2 linked regions of the Lepisosteus oculatus genome follow. The protein of the gene in region 1 interacts with the protein of each later gene in a pairwise test. Links are inferred from orthologs where the notes say so. Each region holds a gene or a part of one and is shown on either strand. Other genes may lie near its edges. The genes, in order: ccdc172 and hddc3.

Evidence for each region.
Region 2: the proteins of ccdc172 (region 1) and hddc3 interact in binary tests that used the Homo sapiens proteins (3 or more experiments, as listed by UniProt). The two-hybrid records come from large-scale screens. The link is inferred for Lepisosteus oculatus from reciprocal best matches to the Homo sapiens genes CCDC172 and HDDC3.

Annotation. Positions count from the first base shown.
Region 1 is NC_090699.1:42,658,211-42,674,453, reverse strand, and holds the start of ccdc172 (coiled-coil domain-containing protein 172), read right to left. Parts: upstream 8,586-16,243; 5' UTR 8,510-8,585; coding exon 8,431-8,509; intron 4,972-8,430; coding exon 4,886-4,971; intron 1,695-4,885; coding exon 1,578-1,694; intron 992-1,577; coding exon 826-991; intron 1-825.
Region 2 is NC_090700.1:49,391,784-49,408,738, reverse strand, and holds hddc3 (guanosine-3',5'-bis(diphosphate) 3'-pyrophosphohydrolase MESH1), read right to left. Parts: upstream 8,558-16,955; 5' UTR 8,230-8,557; coding exon 8,118-8,229; intron 7,700-8,117; coding exon 7,644-7,699; intron 7,178-7,643; coding exon 6,937-7,177; intron 5,869-6,936; coding exon 5,738-5,868; 3' UTR 5,556-5,737; downstream 1-5,555. Other genes in the region: mfap1 (microfibrillar-associated protein 1), read right to left, coding at 207-394, 738-870, 1,519-1,735, 2,529-2,610; vps33b (vacuolar protein sorting-associated protein 33B), read left to right, coding at 10,720-10,815, 11,034-11,114, 11,341-11,402, 11,766-11,815, 12,084-12,151, 12,672-12,717, 13,120-13,214, 13,737-13,841 and 8 more. UniProt on the Homo sapiens protein: ppGpp hydrolyzing enzyme involved in starvation response.

The sequences.
Region 1 (16,243 bases):
CATTATTTTTTCCCTTAAAAGCGAAATTTCTGAAATAGTACGCAGTGTATTACATTTGATAATGTATTCTAATTATTTCCTTTTGTAAACTACCCAAATACAAAGAAGACTGAAAACCTGAATGTCAATGTCAATCTTTCATCTGTTCATCATTCTGTCCTTAATGCCTCTCCATTAACGTTTTTTATAGAAATCTTGATAGCAAAACATTATTTTCTTATTCTTATTTAAGAAGCATCAAAAGCATTACTTTTAACTATATCAGTGTGGGCTGGCACAGGACACAGTCTCCATATTTGTGAGCAATCCCTTTTGGAACGAGAAGGTTTAAATACCTCCAATCAGCCCTGGATCAGCTGGCTAAACCTGTTCCACAGCAATGCACTTTGATCCCACTGACAATGACCTACAGTACTACACATTATGAATGCAGGATGTCATTCCTCCTTCACCATTTGCTCTGTTAAGCAAGGAGCCTCTTTCCCTCACCAGGTGTGCTTCATTTTTAGTTTTCTCATGAATGGGTGACTTTTCCTCAAAGCCACCTCTGTCTCACAACCCCCTTACAACTCTCTCATCATTGGGATCTTTTCTCTTTGACGGATAGCCCTTTTGTATCTTAGGGCATTTTTAGTTGTATCATTAAGCACTTGTAAACAGTGCCACAACCTCTACTGTTATTGTAGTTACATATTATTGATTGCTCTGTCTATGTGCATCTGGAACAATGGTATAAAGTCTCTTGGCAAGGATGCAATTGTCAACTGACTTATCTGGTTAAATAAAGAATTATTACTGTGCACCAGTTAAGTGTACTGTACCTACCCTTGATTAAAAAAGTTTCTTCCTCTTCCAATTTAAGTATTTCTGCCTTGGTTCTGGATTCCATAATTGCTTCTCTGTCTGTCAGTAGACTGTAATCATCATTGAAAGCCATGATCTCTTTCATAAATTTTTCCTGCTCTTCTGAGCATTTTTGTCGTATTTCCCCCTGCATTTTACAGGGTCAAGACAGAATTGTGAACAAATGTTAAAAATAATAAATTCTATTTATTATTTTAAATTTGGCACCAAGATTTACACAACTCTGAACAATTTGAGAAAGCACACATTTTACACAAAGCACAAATAAAGAGGTTAGAAAACAAAATAATACTAAATTATTTCTTGTTTGCACAATTAAAAGAATGGATGTACTGTATCTGATTTCTTCATTACAATTTGGAAAAAAAATGAATATGACATTCCTCCTGGCTAAACGCGGTGAAATCAAGCAAGGCATTATATCTGTCTTGTACATGCATCAGCACTGTACAAGGCCTCCCCACTGCGCTTCAGAGCTTTATGTAATAATAATTTGCTTCCATTTATGCACGTTATAATTACAGAGAATCACACTAAACACATACAGTACAGTATGAGGTGGCAAGTCAGTAAACAATAGAAAGTACAGTTCTTAAAGCTTTCTTTAGATAGTAAAGAAATAGTTCTACAGTATGTGCTAATAGATATCCACAACATGCAAAGCATGCTAATAGATATGAACAACATGTAAAACACACAATAAATAATCTTACCAGGGATTCTATGAGATTGTGCTTTTGTTTTGAAAGGTCAGCTTTCTGCTTTTCAGTTGCTTCTTTGTGCATCCTTAATAGGCCACACTGCAAAGCAGTTTCAGACAGAATCCGGGTCTGTAAGACAATTTAGAAAAGGATGTTTCTAGGGTTGAAATTTGCATAACCATTTTTACCATAAATCTCTGATTACTTAGTCATTTCATTTTCTGAGTTGTTTTGTAGAAGTAAATGCTTTCATAACATTGTAGGGGTTTGGGTGTTTTAGTTTCTTGTAACAGTCAGAAATTGTAATGGTAAATTGCGAGAGAATTTGATGACTTCTAGGAATCAATCAAACATAACTTACAGTCTCACCCAGGGATTCTAAATATACAATATACAACCAAACCAAAATATACATAAAAAACAACACCGTAATAGAATATAAATATATTTGTGAAACAATCAACTGTGAACATGAATGTCTCATCGTTCACATCAGGGATTGATCCTGATGTAATCATTCAGGGATTACAAAGATCAGAGTTAATAACTTCAGAGTAAAGATACTCATCGACTACAGTATATTGAGTTGCAGTCTGTTGTAGACTATCAGTCTAAACATCAAACATGTGTGGCAATAATAATTCAACTCTCGAGAATTAATATGTGAATGATGAAATAAAGTTTTGATGATTGGTTGAGATTCCATTAGGTTTGGTTCTGGTATCCACCCTACAGATCCCTAATTTGTGGATCTTCCTTTGGGTGATGGATAGTGACCTTTGACCTGTGGTTTTTGGGAACCAACCTCGAGACTGGCTGGAGCCTATCTGTGCTATGTATCATTAAATGTACAGCATGATACAGCTTTACGATGTCTTTTATCAGAGGTGCCTTAAGCCACCTTTCTCTGCATTTAGGGACAGGCACCAAGCTGCTTTTTTCAAAGCACAGAAAGATTATTAGAAATCTTAAATAATACTTAATTCCTAGTGTAATAATAAACCTTGTCCCTACAATATTTTCCACAGACATTTTGATGGTGGAAAACAGGGCATGTTCCCATTGCACTGATTACTGGAAAACTCTTCCGATCCTTCAACCTTCTGAATTCAAACTTATCATACTGTACCTACCCATTTGTCTCTGTCACCAACTACACATAAACTTAATTTGATTAGTAACTCTCACTTTTATCGTCTTTTAAACATATTTAAAGCTTGACGCAAGATGCAGATAAAAATCATTGCAAACATCTGTTAGCAAAATGGAAAATTAGAAAATATCTCTACAATGAAAGCAGATGGCAAGAACTGTATAGAAGTGAAAATTGTTTATTTTGACAGTTCACATTTTCTAGGTCATTCAGTAATTACTACTATATTGGCATTTAGATTCTGAATATTTCACCTTTTTTCAACAAGCTTTTTAAAACTGTCCATTCAGCCGTGAAAGGCAAATGTTATCATTCAGCTTCTAATTACATGCTACCTGCCTTCACAGAACACAAGTAAATTAATATTTGCTAGATGTTTTCTTATGACCCCCAAGCAATCTCTACGAAGTAGCTGTCATAAATATTGCATTCAGGACTCATGTTGAGCGTGAACTTGAAAGTAATAACCATTTCATTTGGCATGTGTTTCTAGCATTAATTTCCTCTGATCTTTTATGCCAAAATAGTTTTTTTTTTTTCATATAAGCTGCCTAGCCAACCAAAAGTGGATTAACATACAATTTTTAATAGTCAAAAGGAAATGGGGTGGCTCAGGCTACATGGCAGAAATGACAAGCATCAGACTACAGTTTATACAATGGCTTTTCTCATTAGAAACACACATTACTGCTACCTGATGGGACACTGCAGTGAATTATGCAAGGAGCATGAATCAAAATGCACAAAGTCACAAGTATATAGTATTCATATAAAAGCCTACAACTGTCAGTAATTACCCAGGACTACATTATGTTGGCCTTGTTTTAAAGAAAACAGAATCTCTCACTGAAAATACACTGTAGTTTCATAATATAACTGTAAATATATAACGTCAGAACACAGAATTGGATCATCTTTTCAACAAGTATTCTGAATTTGTAGCAGAGTTATTGTCATAATACCAATACAGCAAGTTTAAAACTGAAAACATTGGTTGCCCCCAGCACCTCTTATTACAAATTAAGCACTGCATTTCCTTCTTCACCAGCTTTAGTACATTGTACTTTCACTCTAATTTCAACAAATTGTAAAATAAAATGTTAATTAAGAAGACAAATTTTAAAAATTATGACATATTATGACTATAATTTTATTTATGTGTCTTTAAGCTAAAAGATAATATATTAAAACTAAAGTGACTGTCAGCTGACATTATATTTGGTATTCATACAAATGCGACCAATTATTATTAGCATTTGTACAGTAATTATTTTTCTGACAAAGCTGGCATTCATGTAAATGAAAGCACTTTTGATTTCTGCCATATATTGCCTAAGAAGAAGGTTAATCTAGCCTTCTCATATATATTAGCCTCTGTTTAAAAGGTTTACAATTGCAGCTTGAGATTGATCTTTTTTGAAGAGCTCTTGTCAATAAACAAGTCATCATTTAAAAGTGCTGAAGATTATCAATATTTCAATGGTTTTAATAACGATATGTGAAAGAGATTACAATCTCTGCAATATAAAGAACAGGGTCACTTAACTGAAGTTTACAAGTGTTCTGTCACAGGGAACATTACAGCTAAACGGTTAGAGATTCTGGTAATTTCATCAAATTATACCATACTTTGGATGTCTTCCTGACTGAACAAATTTCAACTAACACAGCAGAAATTAAAATAGTGGATGAAATGAGTTCTCCTGCACAATTTGCTGCAAATAAAAAAGAGGCAGAATCATTGCACATTTGACACTCTGTTTTGTGTTTTATGAATTATATTTTGGATTGATAAAAATGAAATGTGATTTAAGATAAATTTCATTCAGACTTCAAATCTGAATGTCACCACATCTACACATCTATAACTTCCTCATCAGTGACTTGAATCCATTTTTAAACAGCTGAATGTTACTCAGGGTTGAAAGTTCGTAATCCAAAGATAAGAGTGAAAAAACACCAATTCTATCACTGTCACTATGTGCATTGTCTTCCAATTACTACAGAAAAACAAACATTCATTACACAAGTAACATAGTTGATACACTGTACCATTTTTAAAAACACAAAAAAATAAGAATGCATACCAATTAATTGTTACAGCTACTACGGCTTCATTCCAATTGCTCGCATTTACTTCCTAGGAAACTTCACAATTTTAGCTTACCTTTTCTTCTACTTTCATTTTTGCACACTCTAGTTCTTCCATTAAAGTCTTGTGTTTTTCTTGATACCAGTCAATTTCCGCTTTAACTGAAAAAAAAACAACAGATCGGTTAATAAAAACTCTACAGCACCAATAAAACACTCAATATAACTGTAAATAATGAGACCTGCAGGTTTTACAGATAGCCCTACTCACAATGAAAGATTTATCAGAACCTTGAGAAAAATAATAAAATTGACCTCATTTAATATCAGAGGGTGATGAAATTTCACTGTTGATTGATGTACTGGATTATATATTGATTTGTCCTCATCTTTAAACAATGTTCATAAACGCTGAAGTTTATGGTTTTAGATCTGTAACAAATTAATGATTAATTAAACATTTTCATGCACGGTAAATCTATTCAGCAAAGCATTTTCTTTTAAATATAAATCATACTTAATGTTAATCTGGGAAGTATAACAGAATTAAAATTATGTGTAATTGACCTTCTAGCTGGAAGCGACCTTCTTACTTGTCAAATGAATATGGAAGACTCTTCCATGAAGTTTTTTTTAATTATTAGGTTTACAGTAGATTAAGACTAAAACAATTTTTTGTGTTTTTTGCCATTTGCTGCTCAAGCTTCAGGTTGATGTCTGCACTCAACTCGTCTGCAGGTGCTTGTTTGTTTTCCCTTGAGTTTAACGCACAGATATCTCCAATCCCCAATCATGAAGTATGTTGATCATTGTTGATGAGGTCTTTCCCTGGGAGTTTACCGCTGACATTAGACTTTAGATATCACTGCTCGTCAAACAGCAGCATGTGGAGCAGTCTTGGACACTGAAGCTCCTGCCAAACACACAACAAACAATCTACTCTCTTTCTATGAGGTCTCTTCTTGCCTAATGCCTAATTACCAACCAGGCCTGTCCAGCACTTTCATGCATGAGCCTAGGTATGCTGGGAAGTTATTTGCTTTATTTACTGTAATTCATGACCACACTTGTCATAGCCCTCAAAGGCAACACATTTGGTCGCCCTCATTTACCCAGTGTAACAAACAGTTCTTTCCGGACCCTATGCGGACGACACAATCCAAAGAAGTGGGGAAACACTGGGAAAACGTCATGCAGGAATACGGGGCTGAAAACAGGGGGGCGTGTCCAAAGTGCGCTGGTGCATGGGGGAGGTGTGGCCGAGACAAACAATCCAAAAGAGTAATCCATAGAGGGTATCCAAAAACACAAGAGAAAGTCCATAGCCAGGAGATCCATCCAAACAGGCAATTAAAACCATGAACCGGACCGGGACCGGGCGCTTCCAGGTCCCGGACTCGCACGGTGCGGAAACCAGATGCAGAGCCAGGATGAGCGTCAGCGCCTGGCTTTTAAGGTGGGCTGGGAAAAAGGGATCAGGTGCACAGAATGAAGTCTAAAGTGAAAGGGCTGGAGCACCCTTAAGGAGGGGGGACTATAATTGTGACACCCAGGTGTTGCAGTTTATTTGGTCCAATATCTGTACATTGTCATTTCCTGTGATTCTAAAATTTACCACAGTAATTACAACACAAGATCTCTATTTTTAAGACGTTAAGCAAACGCCTTAGAGCCATTCTCACCCCTCTCTTTTGTTTTCTGTGCCCCACCTCTTTCCCTCAAATCTGTGTTCTCCGTCTCTCTGTACATTTAACAGTTATACAGCAGAAATCGTACATGCTACAATCTCTCAATGGAATCTGGAACCTCTTTAACACATAAAACAGACTTTTGATTTACAAATATAAAAAATATGAAAACTCCTAATTATTTTGTTCAGTGCAGCCCCATTCAGTCAACTTCTGTGTTAACTTTAATCCAGTATGGAACTCAAGAGAACTGCCTTGTTATGTTTTTTTTTAGAGTCTGCTTTCTGAATAACCTTTGAATTAAACTCCAATTGTTCTCCACATTGCTATGATGACTTTAGACTGTCATTGTTATATTCGACTTTGAACCTGGTATGCCACAGTGAAAGAAAAAGTTTCACTGTGTTAACTGAATCCGTTGCTGTTCTCAACAGCTTCCACTGTAGTTCAGATGGTTCTATGAAACTGCAATGCCTTAGTGCAAGCATCCCTGCTGGGAAATAATATTATAAATTACAGTAGCTGGGTTATTAGTGTAACAATTGTGGTCCCGCTGGTAATAATAGATTAAGCCAGCATAATAGGTGGGCTTTATTTTTGTCTCCCACATGTGACCTGTCAATGGTATTTGCTATTATTTTTTTTTCCAATCCCACACAAAACAATGGTTTAAAAGAGACTGCAGGAACAGTAGCCAATGTACCAGAATTAAAACGCATTGTTTCACTCATTTTGGACAACTGAGGAAATAGGACTACTGTACTACATCAATGTCAAAGGTGATGCAGGAATTTATAAAGTTTTGGCCTTATATTGAAATATGTAAAACAAATCATCAATAGGAAATTGGTGCATCATACAAGTTATCTATTATAAATTTATATCTTACAAATGAAATGTTAACTAATGCAAGATACTGTATGCTGATATGCTACAATACCAATAGCTGTCAGGCAACCCAGCAAAGTGCTGCAGTGTCTCAAGGCCTACAGTATGTCAGAACTGTTTTGGCAGTATTATAAGGAAAGGTTCGTTAAACTGGCAGTGCTGAATATGGAAGAACGGTCTGAGGAAAGAAACCCCAAATTATCTGCGTGACAGACGGTAATCTGTTAGATATTAACCAGGTTTCAGGTACATTTTGTAAATAATCTTTCAATACAACAATATACAGTACAGTACATATACCTGCCTTTTCCTTTGTTTCAATAATGTATCATTTGAGAAGTTCGTTTTAGAACAAATACTGTATAAACCTAATTAATTTACAAACTTAAACAGGATCAGACGGCACTTCAAGACCAGTATTAGTAGCACAACGGGTATTACGATATACAGTAAGTGAATTGTATACAGTATGTACTTGCAAAGTTATAAATTACCATATTAAATAATGGTTTATATAGTTTTTACAATCCTAAGTGATGGTGTAGGGCTAATGTCAGAAGTAACATTATCGCGTGTTTAGTCTCGATGGATGGTAATAATGTCATCTTTATCGATTTCTCAAGCGTTTATATCTCTTTAATGATGTGGCATACAGTAACTGGTTTGTTCGACCACAATAGTTTTCCTGTAATGTTAAGGACTACTCCTGGGAAAGATGTATATTTCTCTGACACTGCATTACAGTACTATGCAGATAGAGCAACAATAACTTCAGTGGTTTCGCAGCAAATTTAACTATTCAAAAGTATATCGTGGGTCTTCTAAAACATTCCAGTTATACTATCAATTTGTCCTGTAGGTTAGAAGAAAAAAATATAACGCCCCATCCAACAACAATCCCCCCATTCTGTTTGCGACATAAACCAGGCTCTTCAGTTTTTTCAAAACGAAGAACACGTTTTGTGCTCATAATATTTACACCAAATAAAATACGAAGTTTTTTTTTCTCCACTCAGTCGAATATGACGATATTTTTTTTAATTACCTTCCAGTAAACGACGTCTTTTCTCTTCAGCCTCTTGTTCTGAAAGTAAAATGTGGTGAAACAACGAGTCCAGACTCATATTGCAAGTTAATTCAAACGTCTGGAAAAGTTCGAGAAAAACAGCGGTTCGTTACAGAAGAATATGAATTCTTCTATTTGCGGAGGTAATGCACGAGTGACCACAGAACACCCCTTAGGTCCCGTGATAGACTCTTCTAAAAGAAGTGTAATGATGCTGAGATTGCTTTATAGTATATACAGTACAGTAGCAACGTAAATCCACTTAATTTTTATATAATTTATATGGTAACGAGTATTTGTAATTGTTTATTCCTTAAAAGGTCGGTGTCATTTTCTGACAGTCGATGGTTGTAGCGTTTTGGTTTGTTAGGTTTTTTCAGCGGTAGCTTATTGGGCTTCTATTTTAATAGGATTTCAACAGGATGTTGCTTTTAGAAAATGATTTAAAGAGTGATTGCTGTGGTTGAGTTGGGCTCTTTTACAGTTTTATATGAGATTTTACTAATACGCACGGACAAATGTGTTAGTTTAAGACTTATTTTGCTGTAACTTCTTTTGCTGTACTCTTCCACTTTTAAATTTAAATCAGTGACGGATTTCTTTGCCATAATTTAAGTTGATCGCTGCTTGCATTTCAGAGTGACTGCCGGACGCTATTCGTTCTATCATGAATTATCATTCAGGAGAAAATGGTTAAATAATATATTTCACGTTTATATTTTTTTCTTACACTGTTTATATAAATATGCTGGGTGTTTATAAACAATATGGCTCAAAATGTATTTCCCTTTCCCGCTGATTTCCGGGCACCTAACAGTGGAAAGGAAGATTAATTGAGGGGTCATGGTTGGGTCCTTACTGGACCAGCTTTTTAACTTTTTAAGATCTTAGTAAAACGTATACCTTAATGCAATTATTTTTGCTATTCTGAAATTGTCTATACAAACTCTAGCCACCTTTTGTCTTTTATTTAGTGTTTTATTGGTGGATTATGGAATATTTTGCTTCCAAAGTCTGAATTGTTTTTATCGTTTTTATCATTTATAAATTGCATGAAACAGATTGCCAGGGAAGGAGTCATAATAGAAAATATAGCTAGACTTTAAAGACTAGGATTTTAAGGCATCAGATTTCAATTTTTGTTTTGTCAATCGCAAGAAATATTCAATTTGTCTCCTCATGCTCCCCACTATGGACTCGCTATCAAACCAAAACTGCTCTTCTGCTTCTGCTAGCCCAGAGCACTAACAAAAGATTTACCTTGTCAAACCCCATGCCAGTTTAAACTAGTTACAATGGCAGAAAAAGAGAATGCTGTCTGGGACTGGAGTTGTGGTGTTATCCTGGCATCACAGGTGAAGTTCCTGCAAGTCTGAAACATAGTCACCAGATACAGGGCATTCATACTGTATACCACATCACCAAAGCTGCCAAGTGTCACTTGGAAATAGTGGAACCATTAGTATACAGTATATAGGTCTGTCCTAAAGTATATATTATATTCAGTTGTGGGTTCAGGTCCCCAAAACAAACACTGCTGCTGTATCTTGAGTAATATGCCTTACGCCAGTTACTCCAGGCCACCCAGCTGTATAAGGTGGGGACCAGCATTTTAGTGTGGTAATTACTGAAATGGTCCAGCTTCATCCAGGGGGAGAGTCACATGCTCTCTAACCCGCTTAATGCTGTGACAACACAAAACAGGTTAAGATCTGGCCTGATGAGGTCAAGTGTTTAAAATAGGTAGAAGTAATAATAAAATTTTACAATAAGGAAGTAATAATGCAGGAGAGTGTAAGATGTTGCATGCAAAAACAAAACAACAAACATGAAGCTGTATTATCTGTACTTATACCTTCCAATTATATTAATTACTTTTTCAAATGGAAAAACAGTATTGCTACTGTAAATGTTTTTCTCTTTGTTGAACAAGCTATTGTGTAATGAGCTATTTACACCCAAACACCACAGGTAGGAGCCCTGCACAACACACATCCTGTCCTGCTTAATTTCCCTACTGATACACACCAAACCTGTAATTAAAACACCAAAAAAACACCTTAATGACATTAATGGTAAGTGCTGAAAAAATAACCCACGTGCAAACAAAGGTGTGTACTAAGTACTGCATTCTTCTTAAAGTACTGATTAAAATGTCCTTCCAATAGGATTTCTGAAGAGCCTCTGAAAAGCAAACACTAAAGGATATTTTAAATATTGATTTCTGGTGTGTTGTTGTTATAAGTTAGGTTTGTTATTAGAAAAAATGTATGTGCAGTATCCATTCATCAATTGTTTGGCAAGTACTGTATACAGTATCTGCCTCCCTAAGACAAAGACAATAGTTGTTACACTTTTCTAAATGAGCAAAAAGAATAGTATAAAATCACCAACATTCGAAAGCATTTTAGATCTCCAGTTTATCACAGCTGCCTTTAAGTGAGCTATTAGAGCTGCCAGCAAAAGTATTGTTTGATGTTTGTAAGCATAGTCAGCAATCAATAACTTTAATTCTATGCCATTTGGCCCTTTAAGATTTGTCACATCATTCTTTACTTTATTCAATTTCCCCGCCGCAGTGGAAAGAATGGTTTTGAACCAGTGCCATGAAGCACATTAAAGTGTGAATGGGAACTCATTTATATAGCAAAGACTATATCATTTTGACATTCATTTGGAAAATTAATAGTAAATATTGATTGAAGCTTTACATAAAACCCAGATTTATGCTGTACACCTTTATAGTGAGGTTAGCAATTTTGTTCCTTTGCAAAAATGTGCAGAGTCATCATATTGCATTTATGTAAAATTAATGCATTCTTTTTAAATGCAATTCTCACCCTTGACCCTAAGCCTGATGAAAACTGTTCTAGTAGTCCAATCATCATTTGTAGTCTACTGTACAGTATGTGCAAGAGCTTATTGAGTATGTAAGTTCTTTCATACCTCAACATCACACTACTGTAAGAACATAATTGAAGGGTCACAAAGATTGAAAATGACTTTCTTTTAAAAACATATTGCTGTTAAGAAAGATGAGTTTTAATAAAAACTTTAATTTGGGATTGTGGACTTCACAAAGAATGGCTTCCAGCCTTCAGTTTTGAAACTTAACAAGTGGATACACTTGTATTTGTGTAATATTATAAACATGGTATGTTTAAAATGTCCTTAAACATTTTGCAGATGTTTATACCATATCATTAAATTGGTGGAAACTGAAAAACAAAAAGCATAGTAAATCACTGAATAACATAACTTAAATATTTTGTCCTAGGAACAGAGGTTAACTGCTGCCTGGTACATACAATGTATAACTGAAAAGATAAGATGTAGTGTGTTGTGTACAAGGTTTAAATGATTAAAAAATAAGGAGGCAACAGATAAAAGTGCTTCTTTAATTTTTTTAAGAAATGTAACTTGAGTGCTTGTAGTCAACGAAAAGTCAATCTTCAGTCAATTATTTGTAACCTGCAAATCAATCTGCTCTAAAAACGATATACCGTACAGTATAACTATACAGTATATAACTAGGGAAGCAGAGGTTAATCCACTAATCCAAGACTGAATTCTCAAATGACAAGGCACTATTAAAATGTATCAATATTTAGGTGATCTACTGTACATTTGTGAGGGAATGCAGAATTTTAATTCAATAAAAAAAATCCATGCTCAATCATGTACGGTTATCTTGTGCTTGTTGGTTTATAATTAAATGTGTCTACTTGTAGGTTTACATTTGATTCATCTTAATACAATGAACTCTTTACTTCCCATTCTTCACAGCATCTATGCAAGTTATGAGTTATGGAGGTGGCCAGAATGCACTATTGAAGGCTCTGTATGTCAGTGGGATTTGATAACACTGTTTTGTCACAGAAGTGCTGCATTTCAATTCACGTCTAGCACATCCTGGCACATCAGTTGTAGTGATTAGACTTTAAAAGCATGGGTTATGCAGTGTCAAACACAAGATCTAAATCTTTACTAAAGAAACAGATTTTGCTGTATGTGTAGTTAAAACTGTGTCTTATATTTACATAACACAAATTAGATGTGTTAGTTTTTATTTTATTTTTCAGAAAGCTCTAAAAGTCAAAAGTAATTTAGGGCATAAGCCCCAAAATACAGTCAGCATATTGTAATATTATAGCTGCCTCACAGCTCTTGGGTCCAGTGTTGCATTGCTGTTTGGACACCTTATGTGTGGAGTTTGTATGGTCTTCCTGTTTTCACATTGGTTTCCTCCAGGTGCTTCAGTTTCCTCCCGCATTCCAAAGATGTGCTGTTTCAGCATATTGCGGTGTCTGAATTATCCATGTCTTTGTAAGTGGGTGTCCTTCAATGGACTGCTATCCCATTCAGGGTGTATTCTTACCTTGTGCTTATTCAGACTTGTTCAGTTTTAGCTTTTAACATCATTTTGTACCCGGAAGATAGCAAACAGTGATACTGTGTTGGACCCTTTGTAAAGATATAGTTGTGCACCTCAAGATTTGTATAAGGTACTGTATAAGGTACAGTACCAAAGATATAATAAAATACAATTGATGTTTAAAACTGCAGCTACCTACAAGAAATGGTTTACTGTAGAATAAGATTTACTGAACTTCTCATCCCCCAGTGCTGCACCTCCTAAAAGTGATCATCATAAGCAACAATCGATAAACTTGGTTATCTCTGGGAGAATTTCAACAAGACTTCAGGGCCAGGAGAAAAGCTGTAATGAGAGGGATCTCTGTAGTGAAAAGGCAAGTCACTCTGTGAAAAAAAACCTTACAGTAGGAACAGAGAGGTATTGAAGCTTCTGAATAAAGCTGCCAACCCTTCAAAGATTGTTATCCTGGAGGTCTCAATAAAAATGTTATTTTTTAGCGAGAAAGTACACCCTCCCCCAAACAAAAACCATGGACCCATGTAACTGATTTTCAGCCATGGGGAGCTCCATTCAATTTTGGAATCCAGCAGGTTTGTGGTAGAGACTGTTCCTGCTGTTGTGTCCCCATTGCACATTGGCAGTAACCTCGAAATTAGCAAAAGAACAGCTCTTGAGAATGTTATTTTAATAGTCACATGTGCTCTTCTTTGTCTTTGAGGTTTAACAATTCAGATGGCTATTCTGAATGCAGTAATTGATTTGTTTCTGTTCTTTTACCTTATCATTTTATACACTAATGGTCAACAAGATGTTCAGGTAAAGGGTGTGTAAAGAAAATGATTCCAACTGCTCAAACCAATTTTAAGATCAAGAACTGTCTGTCACGCACCTAAATGATCAAAATTGACTGCTCTCTCCCTTGTCCTTTGCAAATATAAAAAATAAATTTCATCCTTCATGACGAGTGGCCAAATATAAGACCAGAAATGCTTATTTAAGATATATCAAATGTTCTCTAATTACCAATATAATGTTGTAATATTTTATATTTTAAACGATTAATATTCTATCTTTTACATTCTGAATTCAAAACATTGTTTGCAAATTGTATTACCTGATAAGAAAAGTGTACAGTACAGTTTACAGTAGACTGACAGTGAAGATTTCCCACATCTGTAGGTTATTTTTTAGTTGCATTATTAGCTTTAAAATGTATGTAAAAAAATGGCAAAATTCTTAAATTCAAAGCCTAAACTCAAATAGGCTATTCAGAAATTCGTCGTTGCTAAAGGTCTTTCTTTTGAGCAGAAACCGATTGTAGCCGGTTTCGTAATGTACATATTTACAACAGTTAGAATAGCTCTTCGCCTTGTAAATACAGTAGTATATTTTTGTCTTCCTGTTCTTAGAATTTTCTGTTTATCTCGAGCTCGTGCTAGACTGATATGACTGCAATGTATCAGTGGGTATCGCAGCGTTTTATGAGATAATGCTGAAATGCCTTTGGAAACAGCCAGGCGGCTCCATTGGTCCATGTTTCTTCTCTTGGTGTTATTAGTCTTTCAGACATAGCCTTCCTCAGCTCAGGTAAACACAACGGGGAAACCAAATTAGGTACAGTAGGTTCTCACGGTTTCAGTTTGTAATCACCTTTTATTGTGTCTTTTATGAATACGAGCTTATCGAGTACATTATGTGTGACTGCCTTTGAACGTTTGAATTAGCGATAGAGAATTGTAGTCTGCAATTTAAAACTATATTATTCACTTTGTTTATTTTGCTACATTAAATATCTCGTTTAAAGGGATAGATGTGTCCTTCATACTGTAACTCCACTGTTACCTGTGAAAGGGCAAGAAACTAGGGTTTAACGTTCCGTTACCACAAGATTTGTACTGTATAAATGTACTGTATACATTCTGTACTATAGTCTTCATTGAACTTTCCTGTCCTTTTTAAACTGGACTTTTTCTTACTATATTTTTTTCTTTATTTTGCTTTGTGTGTTATGCACCAAAGCCTGAATTTAATGCGAAGGTGAGCACTGGAACTTAAAGGTCTTTGTTCTCGTAAATCGAGTCCTGCTCTCAGAATTATTTTATCTAAAAGGTGTGCACTACGTTTTTGAAGGCTATATAGTTAATGTAACCCATAATCAGATCATAGTGATTTATGCGTAAATAAACCAAGCGATGCAGGTTTATGCATTAAATCTGGTTAAATCTGCCAGGGCAGGTTATGATTTTAAAAACAGAAATATTCGGCATGGTAATTACCAGCTAGCTGTCTTTTCCTCAAAAACTTGAATTTTGCGTTCATTGTTGTTATCAGATACTGAATGTTTTCTATAGTTTATCAATGCTTGTCAAATCTGTCATTAACTTTTCATTAAGTGGAGATCTAGTGGGTCACAGTGGTCACACAGCTTGTGTCCTAGGATTTATTCCGGATTCCTTTGTGTTTCCTAACCCTTTCCCAGGACATGATAGATTAACTGGTGTCTCTGAATTGTCCATATGTGGGTGCCCTACGCTGGACAGGTCTTCCGTCCAAGGTGAGCCCAGCAACGCACCTCTTCGACATTTTGAGACGGGCACTTTTGAGTCGCTTCAGCCTGCTAAGGCTCGCGGCATGCTCAGAAAAATCAACTTTGCGTTATGGATAATTAGAATCATAATAGCATGATGATGAAAGGATACGAAAGCAGGCTACACATTGTGCAAAAGGGACTTCAGATCGTTGTATGTGGTCGTTATCGAGGTGATTAGCAATGCTTAACATTGAATACACGAATATGTAATGTACCCGTACGTCGACCAATGGATCTGTCGAGCCGGTTGGGGCATATTACTGTATTTGCAAGATATTCAAACGAGCGCTTACTGTAGGTAATACTGTATGCCACACTTCATGCCATCTTTTAGACATGATATACAAGTTAGCTGTGATAATCATTAGCATTAACATAATATATAGCAAGCTTTAAATGAGCAATTATGAGATGTCATCGTTTGGAGACAGAATACGGCTTGGAGCAAAACGGGCGAACACAATTGCGCAGACTAACAAGTGCAGTAGCTTGTTTCTTTAGGGTCAGACTGGTGACTGAAATCCATTTGCAATTCTGTAACGCTTTTAGTTCAGGCATGGTACTACTTTGAATTACCAACTTTACATAGCTTCAGATTTTCTTGCTAGTTTTATGTGTAAAACACTGAAGTGCGCTGACTGCGTATAATGCACCACCATGTACTGTATGGTTTTCTGACAGATCACAGTCCGCGTATGTCAGAATGCATATTGTTAGTGTCCATATTCAATTTCAGTCTGAACTTCTGAGTGATTAGTTCTTTGCAATCACTGCAGGTCTCGTTGAAGCCCCCTTTCTGCAGCCAGTGCGCCTCAGAATAAAGC
Region 2 (16,955 bases), on another chromosome or scaffold:
AACACACTCCACGTGTTCTTACAGCAAAGAACGAAAAGAAACTGAAATAATGTTCCTGCCAAACGTACCAGTTCTTTACTTGTCTGCAGTCAGATGCTTACTAAACTTTTTGATAAATTATTAGAACAATAACGGTCTGCGTCACTGAAAGAGCAAAACCTTCCGATCTTGTATTAGGACCCTCCGCCCAAAATGGCACTACCCACTTGCGAATGAAGACGGGTTTGAGGCGTGGTTCGGTTTCGTCCTCGCTGTCAGTATACTCTTCATACTCCGACTCGGACTCCGACTCCTCTCCCGACTTCCCCTCCTCTTCCACCTCCATCAGCTCCATTTCCTCGTTCTTTCGCTCCTGCGCCCGCTGACGCATCATGGCACGCCGCCTCTCGATTTCCTACACACAAACACCGGGGGGAGAGGGGCTCACAGGGGACTCTTCTTTACCATCAGACAGCATCTTAACAGAGCACTAGCAATGAAAAGATTTGAGAACAGCAGGAAATAATCTTCTCACGTGTCAGGAAAACATCAAAACATTACAACACGAGAAGTCACACAAGGGAATACCATCTGACCCATCTTGGCTTGTTAGTAGCTAACTGATAAAATTTCAACAAACCACTTCTTGAATAATCCCAGGACAGTCAATTTATAAGCAAACTACTGTCCCAGGAAAGACACCGATCTGCACTTTCATACTAGAATCCAGTTATTACACCCAATTCCTCTGCGTTTACCTCATCGTCAACCTCCTCCTCCTCTTCCTCTTCACTGCTCTCCTCTTGGTCTGGATGCCAGCCCCCCTCATCCGACTCCTCGCTACTCTCCACCACCAGCTCCGGCTCTGCGATCTGCCTGTGTCGCGCCAACCTGAGGAAAAGCAGGGTCTGTGTCAGGGATAGGGCAATCAGACCTCACAGCAAAAGAATCAAAACGACATGACCCACAAATAATGTTATTAGTCCCACTGCCAGGCCGCTTTCCATTTTGACCATCACGACAATCAAAGTGTTATTTGGAATGACAGATCAACTATATAAAAATGACAGCTATACTGCATGCAGTTACATCCACTTAAAAACACAAAGAAGTTGCAATACAAAATTTACTGAAAAATAAAATAAATGAACTTCTGTTTGTTCACAATTTCCATTTTTAACTGATAATGTCACAATGGTGCAGTGATTAGCATTGTGTGCTATCTGATGGAGTTTGTATGTCCCCCCAGTGTTCATGTGGGTTAACCCTGGGTGCTCCGAGTTCCTCCCTCAGTTCAAAAGCACACCGGTAGGTTAACTGGACCTGGTGCGAGTGTGTACGCGTCTATGCCTCTCTGCCCCTGCCATGGACTGGCGTCAAGCCCAGGGTGTACCCTGCCTCGTGCCATTGTTTGCCCGGATGGGCTCCTGCTCCCCCATGACCCTGAACTGGAGGGAGCGGTTAGAAAATGGATGGATGTCACCAAGTCAAGCCACTTGGGGATGTTCTCAGCGGATGAACACTCCCCCCCCAGGGTACCTCTCCTCCACGTCCTCAGTGACGCGGTTCAGCAGCCGCCTCAGGCGGGGGTCCGACACATCCTCCTCCTCCAGCTCCACCTCCGGCTCCACCTCCTTGCCCTTCTTCATGAACTGGAAATCCTCCTCCTCTTCGTCCGAGGACTCCATGGGGGCATAGTCCGGGCGCTTTCCCGACACATAGCGCTTCACCTTCACCTTCTCCATAGAGATCTCACCTGCAGCAAGACACAGCAACCCCATTACCTCCCTCCTCCGCATGAACACATGCACACACAGCGCTGCCCAAGAGAGGGGCTGGGGAGAGTCCCTCACTCCCTGCTTCTCTCTGGCTCCCCCAGACAGCGCACCTCTGGAAGACTGCAATAACACACAAGCGCTACATGGAACTCCCTTAATAGTCACAGAAATCTGGAAACGATGACGACTGGTGTTTTTTATTACCCTTTGCGTTTCTTGCGATCAGACCTGTTTGAATAATCAACACTAGGGCTAAAGAGTTTCATTATAACCCAAAACAATTATGATCTGTATCTATAGAACACACATAAACGTAGCATTTTAATTTCTTAAATGGATTCATACACTTCGCAAATCAACACAAAAATACCAACATTTCTCTATTCAGTAGTATTATCAAATACCATATATGTATCGAAAATATTGGGTCTACGTTTTCATTAGCTTATATGTGTATTTGTATCGAGTGTAAACAAATAATCTCCCGCTTTGTTATTAATTATTGACTTTAACTTTATATCATATATTTATTAATACCGATACAAGTATTTATCCAGTATTTCATCATGTCTTACAATATAAAATTAACTTAAATGTATAATTATTTAACATTTACTTCAACTAATATTTTCGTGCACTTTCACAGACAACCTGTAGGAAAGTCAATCATTTTGGACACATTCCTCTCGGTATTCTAACTTTCAAACCGAAAACAAGGGCCCGATGATCACCAGTCCTCGCTTTATGCGGAGCCTCAGTCCAACAACTCACCTTTCTCATTGCGCACCGGCACGGCTCCGGCCGTGGATTGAATCGGCGGCTGCTTCACGTTGAGAGAATTCGGTGCCGCCATGACTGGACGGTAAAAATGACAAAAACAAATGCAAAAGAAACAAATGTATCTCAGATCAGCTTCACAACACACTCAACAACTATCTCCTTCCTCTCCGTAGCAGAGAAACAGGAAATACGACACCAAGCCGCCGGATGTTGTTACAGTGCTTGGATTCCGAACTGCAACAAAAAACTACAGAGCTTCCTCCTTAATCTTTATTTTGGACCAACATTCATTAACGTAGTGGGCGAATGAAAAAAAACAACAACAAATTAATTCCGTAGGTTTTATAAACAACATGTTATAATCTATAGAAATATTATTTAAAATAGCAATGATTATTTTTATTAAAATATTTACTGGAATAAAATTTGAAAGCACGAAAACCTAGTGTAAATCTACGGTTTGAAGCTGGTTTGTGTTTTAGTATATTTTATAGAAAATAATGTACTGTACGTCAACATTGCATATAAGTTAACACTGCTAAGAAAATGTATCGCTACATTGATTTCTCTATGCCGTGTCCCATCAAAAACATCTTTCTTTACATTTGAACTAAAAAGACGAGAACATGAATGGAGGATATTTTCAAAAGTAGAATAACGTGAGTTTAGTTTTGGAGTTTCAATTTTTATCATTTTGTGCCGATTCTTATTCGAGAATTATTCACCTCAGATTCCTCGCCTTCTTCTCTCACACACAACACACAACCACCTTCCGGAAGAAATAGGATCATGCAGTAAAAGAGTCGTTGTTTTGTCACATTACTTTATTTTATTCAAGAACTTAATTTACATTAGAAAAACAAAATTACAGGAATGCTATTACATCTGGGAGTATTAGTAGTAGAGCACTGTAACTGCCATTTTATTATAAAAGTAGTTGTTTCTGGGTTTTTTTTTTCATTCTCGTGTTTTCAGACTGGGAGGAAAAAGTGAACATATAGTATATTGTAGAAAATTGTTGCAAGAAGATTCTGTCTTCTATGGGGTTAACACTGAAGTTCACAGAGGTCGGTCAGCTGCGTTCTTCCACTTGCGACAGAAACAAGGCCAAAGTCATTAGAGGAAATGAGACTCCTCTGTTCTCGGGCAGTGCTTTTTCTCACTTGTCTCATGCGCAACTGGAAATTCACATGTAGGGAAGAGATGATGAGAACACAGACCGCGTCAAAAACTGAGACACCATATAATGTGTACCAGAACCAAGGTCCAGGAAATCCTGCAACAAGACCAAGACCATTAAGCAATCACCCACCATCAGAATATTGCTTTTTTCTGGTGTCATAGTTGACTATCCAGGAAATATAGGGGGCAGGGCAGGACTACACTCTGAACAGGACACTTGTTCATTGCTAGGTACACATACAGTACACACAGAAAGAATTAGTAGACACCAATAAACACAGTCATCATTACATTGGAAAGTATATGAAAACTGCATTTCACATCTATAAATCCCATCAAGAGTCTTAAAAGATTTGCATGCAATGATGATGTGCAACATGTGTTTGCTGAAAACTAGATATTGCTATATAAACCATGCAGAGGCAAACCATAAGTTTCCATAACAGAATAATGATTTGTCACTAATTCATTGTTGCATTAAGCATTTGCTTGTAAAAGTGGAAGATCTCTAGAGCCCTACTACACACACTACAGATTTCCAGGTTAAGAAGTTCCAGGTTGAGTTAGAATTTCTTACTTACGTAATCCCAAGATTTCAATGTAAAACTCATTGTCATATTCAAGGTAACCTAAAAATAAAAAAAATAGTAAAACTTAGTTTAAGTTGCATTTCTTTTAGATAATAAAAGATATGATTAGCAATAGTTTCATATTTCTTTAAATTACTTCTCCTGTCTTTTTATGGTTTCATAGCTACCATTAGACAATAAAAGCAAAACAAACCTTTGCAGATGAGACTATCCACCAATCTGGTATTTTTACATACCACAGACTGCTTTTCCCCATCGTGTTTTAGGAGTTATATTAAAATTAATAATTGTTTTCACATTGTACTCACTTCTCAGGAATATATTACTAGTCTTGCCCTGTTTTACCTTTGACTCCAACAGTGAACACAGCAAGCCAATACAGCATGAGAACCTTCATGTTTCTGTCTCCGTTCCTGCAGTATGCAGATCTGTAGCTTCCTGTTTGTGCTGGCAAACTTGTAGTTTCAGTTGGAAACTGTTGTGAACACGTTTTAAGAAACAAAACACACCCCAACACCTACAGGGTGGGATGATTCTGCAGAGACAGGAAGCTGACATGACTGAGGCAAATATTTGGTTTCTATTTGTTCCCTCAGTGGCATAGGCTTACTATAATACCACTAAGCCTATTTAAAGTTTTAAATGTTTCATGAGATTGTGAACCTCAAGTAGTGTGGGGTCTTATGGTGTTCAAAACAATGGTTATCTTTATGACACTGTAGCTGTCTCTCTCACAGTGCTCAACATTTGAACATAAATCAGGGTAGTTTCACACATACACTTTTCAGTTTGCATTGCTCTACAGAAAGCAAACGTTCTTTCAAATGTTCTACAGTAACAGTAAATAAAAGCTTTCTGTAACTATGAAATGAGCACAGTATTTACTGTAGTTGCTTCCTATTTGTTGTGTTGCTTTCTCATAAGGAAACAGAATGGTTAATTTAGCATGAGTGGTTTATATATTGAGGTTTGGAGATCTTGTCTCTGTCTCTAACCTGACCACAAATGGCTGCAGATCTTCTAATAACAATGATGTATTACAACCACTGTCTTTGACAAAGAAGTTGCAGATGAACATTTTATTATGTGTATTCTGAAGCAGAGAATACATAATATTGGTTCTACGATAATTATGTTGTAACTATATTATTAGACAAACTGAATAAGTGTGCACCTTGTACATGTGGAATTACTGCATGCATAACCTATAGTCTGTTAAAACAAAACGATTATAAAAAGACCGGGACAGAATACAATCATTCGTCTTTAATAATACAGAAACAACCAAAAGACAACGCGAGCTGTAAGTGCCGAGGCCAGTGCTATCTAGGGCAGAGCCAGTTCTGCTCCCGTCAGGTGAGTAAGGAGCCCCGCACCGGAGAAGAGGTAGTGTAGAGATTGTGGACGGGGTGTCTCTGCCGATGGGAGTCAGGACTCGATGCCTCTCTCCCTGAAGAGCTGCTGCAGCTTGTCCTCCAGTGCTATGTTAGTGCCCCGCAGACGCTTCACCACCTCGGCTGCCCACAGGAAATACTCCTGCACCCGCTCTGCTGTCCAGCCTGAAACAACGCAAGGTCGGAGTCATCGGCTCCACGCCCAGCAGATCACACACATCAGGACGTTCGAGTCTGCTCACTCTGAAAGGGGTTGACCACATTGTAGTGGAAAGTATTAAATTACCCTATGCACGCACATAAGGAAGTTCAAGTTATACTGAAAGGGCAATAACAGGGAATAGCTATCTTGCGGTAAAGTAAAAGGGGAACATGCACAAAGAAGGTATGCAAATATTTACAAGACCAGGATGTCTCCGAGTTCCTGTTGCGAAACATATACTCGAGCCATAATGTTTTTTTTTAAAACCCTACAAACGATCTTACACGTTCAGTCGCAGTCACACAAATGTCAGGCTACAACACAACAAAAACGTATTTTTGTTGTGGCCCAAAGCTATCATTTCTTATTGTGACAAAATCTGAAACACTGCATAATGGCTCACATCACAAAAAAAGTGATCTATAAAAATGTATATGTACAGCTGTGAAGGAGATCGTATTTTCAAATAATAATAATAATTGCTCACACTTATATAGGGCTTTTCTGGACACTCCACTCAAAGCGCTTTACAGGTAATGGGGACTCCCCTCCACCACCACCAGTGTGCAGCATCCACCTGGATGATGCGACGGCAGCCATAGTGCGCCAGAACGCTCACCACACACCAGCTCTCAGTGGGGAGCAGAGTAATGAAGCCAATTCATAGAGGGGGATTGTTAGGAGGCCATGATTGATAAAGGCCGATGGGAAATTTGGCCAGGACGCCGGGGTTACACCCCTACTCTTTTCGAGAAACGCCCTGGGATTTTTAATGACCACAGAGAGTCAGGACCTCGGTTTTACGTCTCATCCGAAGGACGACGCCTGTTTACAGTATAGTGTCCCCGTCGCTATACTGGGGCATTAGGACCCACATGGACCGCAGGGTGAGCGCCCCCTGCTGGCCCCACTAACACCTCTTCCAGCAGCAACCTTAGGTTTTCCCAGGAGGTCTCCCATCCAGGTACTGACCAGGCTCACACCTGCTGAGCTCCCTGAGCCTCTCTGTGGCTGCCCTGTAGGTGACTCACCAGTGGGAGTGCAGCGGTTCAAGTCCCTCAGGTTGTACAGTTTGTCAGCCAGTTTGACCAGCTTGGCCTGGTGGCTGCAGTGGGGGGCGTGCTCCACCTGCAGCCGTTTCCTCTCCTGTTTGGGAAGGGACCTGTCGTCGGTCACCTCCTGGACGATCCGCGCCACTGTCGTCCCAAACATGGCCTCCAGCTCCAGCAGGGTGGTGTCAGTGTCCTCCACTGTGTCATGGAGCAGTGCAGCCTGCAGGGGGGCACAACAACGTGCTCACTGACAGCTGACCACACATTTGAACTCCTCCAGTGCTGGAGGTGATACAATCCTAACAAGATGTAAATTTAATCAACGGATTCAAGGTAATAAATTAGGCAGTGTTACAGACAAATCAATATACTTCTCATTTACTTAACCATTTCATACCTGCAGAAACACAGCAAATCCATTCCTAGAACATCTGTTAATGCAAAAATGAACACTGCAACTGATGTAGTGCACACTATTCGGGTTACACAAGAAAATATCTTTTCACATTGTTTATTCTAATAAGATTGCAAGTAAACTACACATGCATACCCAAATGTGTCACTCATTTGGTACAGATTACAGCAGTGAGAGCAGCCCGACATGTACCTAAGGATACTTCCATAGGTACTTGCATGTTTGTTACTGGGGGGGTATGTTGTGCACACAAGAATCAAATTGCTTTTACCTGTAAAACTGCAATGTCCGTAACTCCACCTTCCTGACTTAAAATTCTAGCCACCCCTAGAATGGAAAAAAAAAATCTTAAAGTCCAAGGATATAGGATTCCTTTTTTTAAAGGAAGCAACAGGAGAGAACAATCACACTAGTATTACAAATCTTTTATAAAAGTGATTCATTCTTAAAGAGCATCTCCCGACTGTTAACACATTCTCTTGATAAGAATTATAAAATGATCAAAATTATATGCAACGTTTTTACATCAACAATTGAAAATCACCATGTGACGAACAGCTTGCTTGTTTCGACTATTTTCTTCTGAGAAAAGTTTGCAAAGGGAAAAGGTTAATAATCAACACACAAATGATACTGTACGTCATGTGTGCCACTGTTATACATCAGAAATATCTATTCAACTGCAAATATGCAAATATTTTCAACAAAGAAATGCAGTGCAATCCTTCCGCACGGCGGGCCGTACCGATGGGGTGGTTGATGTAAGGGGTGCCTTCTGGGTCTTTGCGCCGCTGGTACTTGTGTTTCTCTGCGGCGAAGTTCACGGTTTCCAATAGCAACGCTGAATCCGAACTCATATTTGATCTAACTTCAGCGCGATACAGGTTAAAAAAAAAAAGATTCACTTTTCTCTCCTCTGAAAATGACGCCTCCCTGTGGTAGAAAACTTGAAACGCTGCTCTTTTATCTCCTTCGACATAGAGCTTTTGATCAACTAATGAACGCAAAACGAAAACGTAACAGTATATACTTTAATTTGCCAAAGTAATATTGTGAAATCTAAGTTTATCACCGTGTTACAATTCTAAATAGTATCAAATACAATTTTAATTACTCCATTAAATATTGTATAATAGTGATTTTTAAGTACGAACATAAATCCCGTCGTGTTCTATCAAACAGTTTCTTTCCCTTCTTCCAGGATGTGTCCCTTTTGTGTCATCCGGACTGAAACAACCGACAATAATAATTGCTTCCGCAAGGAGGAAAGGAGGAGCAGGTAATATTATTTGCTTTCTTGTTAATTGGGCATGTGTAAATACTACAGCCATTTAAAGTATATATTCGAAGTGTTGCTGTTGTCATCTAGTTATTGTATTTGAGTGGTGTATTTAATTTAATGATAGTGGCTGGCTTAAGGCTCGATTGAAACCCGACGTAAATTCAGGGTATCTACTGTACATTTCCACACGAAGAGAGGAGAATTTCCGTAAATATAACTGTAGCAATAATATAAGATGTATAAGATTGTCCTGAGCATTTTAAATACGTTTCAAAGTAAAATGAATACATGACGACGACACGTATCAAATAATTAACGCAAGACTGTAGGGATATGATAGATTATCACTACGTACGTAGCGCTTTGTATTTTTTGTGTCTGTACGTGGCGTTTCATTATTTGCGATTTTATTATATACTGATATCTGGGTGTTGGCGCACTTTTAAACTGAGTGGTAGCCAGACCATATTGGAAGTCATCTGTTGGGCCATTTATTCACATCTTATCGTCTCAGAAACCAGTTGGTAAGATCTTTATTACGTTCCGCGTACATGTTCGCGTCAGATAATTTTACATGGAGGACAATGGGCACATTGTAAACTACAGCGTATTGGAGGACACATTAGCTATTAAAATAGCACAGTAAGCTAACTCTCACAGAGTCCTGCATAGAATGATCTCCATGGTGCAATGTTTATAATTTCTGTACATCACAATATAATAGTAGTAGATGCATTCATAATAGTAGTAGTTCAGGTGGGTAGCTGCGTCAGCATGCGTAGGCTGCAAAGGAACAAGTAATAGGTTTATTCCATGCTGAAAAAAAGAAGAAAGAGAACACAACGTTTCGGCCGTGGAGCCTTCTTCAGGTGTGTCAAGAAGGCACACACCTGAAGAAGGCTCCACGGCCGAAACGTTGTGTTCTCTTTCTTCTTTTTTTCAGCATGGAATAAACCTATTACTTGTTCCTTTGCTTCATAATAGTAGGACTATTGTTTAAAATTAAAATTAACCAGATGAATTTAAAGCAATTTTGTTAATTTCTAATTGACCAGTGAGTTTTCTTGATTTCCATCTATCCATCCATTTTCTAACCACTTTATCTAGTACAGGGTCGCTGGGGAACCGAAGCCTAACCCAGCAAGCAACGGGCACGAGGCAGGGTATATACTGGACGGGACACCAGTCCATCCCAGGACACACACAGACACATTCACTCACACCAGGGCCAGTTTTCCCAGTGGCCAATTAACCTGCCAGCATGTCTTTGGGCTGTGGTAGGAAACCAGAGCACCCTGAGCAAAACCCACAAAATGGGGAAACATACAAACTCCACACAGATACCAACCCAGAAACTGAAACCAGTGCCCCAGTGCTACAAGGCAGCAATCTAAACCCCTGTGTCACTGTGCTGCCCTGCTTCTGTGATTTGTTAAATTTGTTAAAATTACAAGGAGCATCTGTGCTGTCACATCTGTTCTTGTTTTGCTCTAAACTCAGGACTTCAGCAGAGAAATACCGGACTGAACCTAAACTGTGAACTAATAACTCAATGAACTGAACTCATTGAACTAATGGTCTATCGTTCTGAATCTGAGCGAAACCTACAACTTTAGAATGAGGATTCTGGCACAAGCAAGCACCACGTGTACTGCCAGGAACACAGCAGGGCACACAGAGACCCAGCTGCCTTTGTCATCTTGCTGTTGAGCACTGTGCAGTAGCTGCAAACGCACGCTGTAGGCTGTTCATATCACAGGTGTGAAATTTAACCTGGAAAACTGGACAGTTTTTCTGTTTTTTAATTGGAGCAACAGTATAGATTAATTCCTATATCAACATAGGACTTACAGTATCTGCACGTGTATGCCAGAATGCTCTTATTTAAATCCAGGATCTGTGCCTGCTGTGATCACCTCTCAAGACTTGGAACAACTCTCAGTAACCCTGCAGTGTGGGACAAGGCAGCACTGCAGGACTCAGCGGCCTGTGTGAGCCTATGGATTGCTTTTTCAGGGACAGCTTCGAGCTGCTGTGAGAACCACCCTGGCTACCCTCTGCCCTCATGGCTCTCAGCAGCAGGAGAGATGCCCCCCAGCCACCGGACTTCTCCTTCCTCAAGAGGCTGGCCAGGGACCAGCTCATCTACCTGCTGGAGCAGGTACAACATGGCTGTGTCCGGCTGTGAGCGTTTGTTACAGGACTGTGGTTCTGTACAGTATGATCTCATCATCTTTGTGATATGTTGAGTTCTACTGTTTCATTCATCCTCTCCATGCAAATTAATACCAGTGCTGCATGTAAAAGCTCCTGAATGCAAGTATGAACCTTAATGTAATTAAACGTAATTAATGATCTCCTATCCCTTCTCATCATCAGTTACCGGGAAAGAAGGACCTGTTCATTGAAGCGGACTTAATGAGCCCATTGGATCGCATTGCCAATGTCTCCACCCTCAAGGTCTCTTTTAACTCTGACCTCTTCAGTGTTGCACAGTGTTCTGTTGCCTTTAACCTCCAGAATCCAGCACTTCTGCACTTATTTAGGGATCACATATTTCCTGCATAGCGCCCTGCAGTGTCTGCATGCTTGGGTTTCTTTGGCTTTGATGGGGATTCTGATCAGGGGTTTAGTAGAAGTGAGGCAGGTTCACCTGCAGTCTCACTCAATTTTGCCTGTTTTCCAGCAACATGAAGTGGACAAGCTTTACAAACTGGAGAACAAACCCATCGTCAGCACGTGCAATCAGTGAGTATTTTCTGAACTCTCCAATAAAGCACCTAATATAGGTGACCTGTACATTTCACTTGGTTTAAATCTTTACCTTTTTGAATCACAGAAAAGAAATCCAGGGAGACTCTCACAATGTGCCACAAAAATCTAGAGGGATGTTGAAATGTCAGCTTGTGTGCTTTGTTTTATGTATGCTGTACATTTTACTGAAGTTTCCTAACTCGTGGAAAGGATAGTTACATGATGTTTAATCATAATGTTTGGTTGTGCTTTTACCCCTTTTTGTGAAATCATGTTTTTGCCATTTCTGGAACAAAGATTGCAGAATGTATTGCAGCATACAATGTAACAAACAAAATGTTGCTGTGCTTCCTGTAGGCTGTGCTTCCTGATTCGGCCAAGGATACAAACAGTGAAGTGGATTGCTGGTGAGTAGGGCCATCGGGGGAGAGATTCAGTGACGAAAAACAGATTGGGGATGGGAGGAGAAAGTTAGAGATCTCTGTAACTCTTGCTATGTCTTTGAAGAGGCAGCAATGAGATAAAGCAAAGTGCATTTACTTCAGGCAAAACTAATTTCAGGCATAGGCAGTCTATTCGTTGTGAATAGAAAATGACAAATTTGACATATTTTTGTGAGCATCTTTGCTTTTAAACCAGAATAGAAACATTTATCTCCACCTCCTTCTTTTCCAGAGATCGTGAACACAGACAAGGCAGCTGGAAGACTCAGGGGATACAAGATCATCTTCTGCCCACAGAAGGTGAGCTCTCCAGGCCTCATCTGGGGAGTACCTTCTGGTTCCTTTTTAGGAGCTTGAAGCACAGAAATTAATTATTGCACTTCAGATTGGCCAACTCAAATGAGCATAACACTTCCTTATTTATTTAGAACATATTGTAAATGTGGTAGAGAATAGAACAACCTATTTTGGTAAAAAAACATTCAAAGTGCTTTTCTTCTGTGCTGACTGAGAAGTTAATTGGCTGCAGACAGAGTGGCAGCATTACCCTCAAAAAGAAATCAGAAACAGTTATGTTTTTTTTACATTTGGTCCAGATGCATGAAATATATTCAAATGAATAAACATTGATTTCCTTTTGATTTTTTCCTTAAACGATTTTTGTGTTTAAGAGTTCAGACTAGTCAAAGAAAAAACTGTCCAGATTCAGTACTTCAGTAACTCAAGGTTTTTCCTTCACCTGGGGTCAAGACAGATGAGGTATTAAAAAGGGCTTTTGATTGGCTGGGTTTTAACTGTATGTTCTTATTTTTATGCTCAGTTTTATGCCTGTGAAATCGTTTTGGAAGAACAGGGAGTTTACGGAGGTGGGTATACAGGACACCTGTATAGTACGTCTTCATTCACAGTGAGACGCCTGACACATACTGCAACCCAGAGAGTTACATCATGATATGTGTGTTGTCTGATGTTTACATAAATAATTGCAGAGTATGTTTTTTTTAAAAAACATCTTAATGTATTGCAATGTATGTCTTCATTTACAGTTCTTGAAATGTCACTGAGTATTCACAATATTGATAGTTTCTCCCTTTATGTAATTATTAGCAATTGAGCATGCTAGTCATTCTAAATCAATTCTGTTGTAAATTCACCCAGAAGTTCCTGTGCTGTTCCTGCAGCAGTGGAGGTATCAGCCAGTCTGCGAGGAGGTCTTGGGAAAGGAGGAACGACACTTACTGTACCTGTCTACCCTTTCACTCCTGCAGATGTCAGCACTGACGAGTGGGCTTTCTACCTCCTGCCGCTGGATGATGACATCATCAGCCTGGAGCTTCCAGAGATCTTCAGAGACAATTTCCTGGTAAGCAGGCAAGACTGTCACAGTGTAACAGACAAAATTTCTTGCCTTTAAATATTCTCACCGTCAGAATACATTTTGCCACAGAATCTCCCGTCGATCTATGGAGGCTGTGGAATTTTGGCTGTTGAGGAATTTCTTCACCTCGTTAGAGATAAATCAGAGATGGCTTAGCCTGTTAAAGATGATTAAGTATGGACACTTAAACCTGTGATAATGAAAAGGCATGTCACTATAGAAACCGTGAGTGGACAGTGGATTATGGGTGTTATCGTGAAATCTCTTCAATGACTAATCTGAGCTGTTCCTGTTTTGACTTATCTAGGGTGTATAGCCACAGTTTAGTACGATTATGTTACTTTTTATAGTCTTAATTGTGCAGTTGAAAACACTAATACAACTGCATCGATCAACAGTGTTAAGACAACAATACCTTCTTTATACAGTGATATACTGCATAATTGCAGCTGTAGATCAAGTCAGTGTTGTATAGGACATATGTCATTTTGCCCTTGTTTCTTCCAGGAGGGGAACCAGCGTTGGATCACAACTGCAAGCAAATCCCTCCACCTCCTGAACTCTCTCTATGGCCCCTTCTTAAAGGTGTATGGGATTGGTCGTTCTGCCAAGGTAGGCTCCCAGCCATCACCGTTACAGTCTGACTACGCCAGCCAGTCCCACCAGTGTCCTGAGAATGGCCTGTGTCCCTCTGGGTTTTAGATGACGTATGATATGTGGAGGGATCTGGTGGAGGACGGGGAGCAGAAGACCCAGCAGCCTGAGATTGGGAATGTCTTCCTTATTGACCGAGGTATGGAGCCACTCCGGAAGAAAAAGACAGGGGAAAGGAACCCTGAAATACATCAGGGTGAAGTGCTGTAAGGAGGGGTGAACAAGATGAAGTTTCATTTAGTACTTCTGAAGTGATCACATCCTCTTTATTAATTGTAGAGCTAAATAAACTCCGTTTGTGCTTGTTAAAGCCTTGGCCTGAGCTGGGATTAGTTGGCCATGATCTTCTTGGCTTTCCATACAACAGGACTCCTGTGACCTGGATGAGTAAATGATTAAAATAGTAATTAAAAAAAAAAATTACAGTAAACACAGGAATCCTCCATCTTTGCATTTGCCATAATATACCGTACATGTCAATATAAGAAGGTTCTTTGTATCTCTCCAAAGTTTCTGTGCTCCATGTTTTGGTAGGTGTGAAAGTGGTCTCAATGGTATTTACATTGTTTTATGCTTGTTCAGCCACTGTCTCTGTTCCGTAGATGTGGATTTTGTGACCCCACTGTGCTCCCAGGTTGTTTATGAAGGACTAGTGGATGATACATTCAGGATCAAATGTGGTGAGTGCTGTCTTTGGCTTCCTTTACGCATACAGATTTTGTCCATCACTGGTATTCTCTTTGAAGCCTGACCTAAAACATATTATTGAATAATATGTGGAATTCTGCTATACATCAAAAGGAGATATTGTACAGCTGAACGTCATAAATATGCCATGCGTCATCTTACTGCTGGAAACACTCATAACTCCTAGTTCCTGTGGAGATAATTTCATTTAATTGTGAGCACAGTGTTTTCAAAGCAGTACAGTACAGGGATGTCAAAACAGCTTTGCGAATCCAAGAAATACAGTAGGTTTGTCACCTAGCCTTGTGCTTTGTTTCTTGACATGTGTTCCATATGGTTATTGCTCCAGAGCAATAATTATGTCCATGCTCTTTTGCCTGCAGGCAGTGTGGAGTTCAGTCCTGAGGTCAGCTCCTCTGACAAGAGTGTGAAGGTGATGCTGAATTCTCAGGATAAGGTGTGTAGAGAGACAGTGCTGTGCGAGTGGCTGCCACCTGCCGTATAGAGTTTGAACCCCTGCGTGCTGTGTTGCAGGTATTCAGTGAAATCAGGAATGAGCACTTTTCCAATGTCTTTGGGTTCCTGAGTCAAAAAGCCCGGAACCTGCAAACTGCATATGATGTGAGTACTCGCCTTTCAATGTCTGCCTGCTTTAAACACCGACATTTGGTTAGAAAAACTATCTCAGAAATCGCTAATATATTTAAAATACTCTTCTTATTTCTTTAATCTGTGGTTTCAGAAATTCTCAGTAGAAATGACAATGTAGTGCTGAAAGTGGTCTATGGATTTCCAGTCTTCTCCCCTTATGACCGAAACCTGCCCGGTCAATATCTTTCTGTTCTGTGTGCCTCAGTTGCTGGCTTTTCTCATAACTGACCCACCCTCTCTCTGCAGAAGCGGTGTGGGATGGATATTAAGCAGATGAAGAATTTTGTCTCTCAGGAGCTGAAGGGGTTAAAACAGGAGCACCGCCTTCTGAGTTTGCGTGAGTTTCTGTCCTGAGTCAGCTTTGCCCTCCCAGTCCTCCGAGTCAGACCCACTGCCTTCCCAGTCCCTCCTGTTTGAGCACTGGGGTGTAGTACTGTGGCACTCAGCACTCCGTGCTTAATTCTCAGGCTCCCTGTACTGTCCTGGCCTCGTCGTTTCAACAGTGTCCCGCTACAAACATAAAAATACAGCTGTTTTAAAGTAAATGCCTTATTTCTGAAGCCCAAATATTATTTAATTGTGGATGCAGAATATATTATCTCCCCTAGATATCGGTGCCAGTGAGTCCATCATGAAGAAGAAAACCAAACAGGACTTTCAGGAGCTCCTGAAGACAGAGCACTGTGAGTCCATGTTTCTCTTCGTGCAGTTCCCGAATGTCCTTTTCACCATCATTTGGGATTGGTTGATCTTTGTGCTTTATCAATTTAATATAAAATAAATTAATAGCTTCTGTCCTCTGCTTGATTCTGACACTTGTTTGCAAATTCAGCTTTGTCATGCAATGTACACAGTAACATGAGAGTTGTGTCATGCACTCTGAACTTTTCCATTCTTAACTACATAAGAACTCCTGTATACCAAGGCTAACATCAAGAGAAGGCAAGCTAGTGCATCTAGCTTGTTTGGTTTCTAGTTGCTAATTGATCAGAGAATCTCATCTAGCCATTTCTTGAAAGAAGATAGGGTATCAGCTTCAATTACATGGCTGGCAAGCAACAGCTCTTTATATAGAAAGTGCCTTCTGGTCTTGGTTTTTAATTTACTTACCCAAAATGTCTGCATGTGTGCTTTGGGAGATTCCTTTTAGCTCAGGAATGTACTGAGTTATTCTACTTCAGTCTAGCAGTATTTTTTATAGAATGTGATGTCCACAGTTTTACGCAATATTCTAAATTACTAGGGCATTGTGTTGTTAAACAAGACCTCTTTTGATTTGATTTCCTGCTACAGCTCTGCTGGAGGGGTTTGAAATCCGAGAGTGCATCACCTATATAGAGGAGCACATCAACAGGCAGGTGAGAATCTCAGAGGTGACATCAAGTTGTATAACCAAACATGAAAGTAATCTGTTAAAACAGTAAGGCTCATCAGAAAGCTACTTGCATGAGGCCGGTGTACAGTAGATGTTCTAACTGTGTGTTTGGGTATTTAATTTGATGGGGGAACAGTGTTCACAACTACCTAATCACTATCCCATTCCCATGATTTGCTATTCATTAAGTAAGTGACTGAGTTACCCCTTTGCTGCTGCTGCTGCCCTCAGGTCTCCATGATCGACAGCCTGCGACTCTTGTGCCTTCTCTCCCTCACCGAGAATGGTGAGTCTCATCCCCTGGGAGCTCTTTGCACTCCTGTGACTTGCGAGAGAGAAGCCTTTAGGCTTCATGAAAG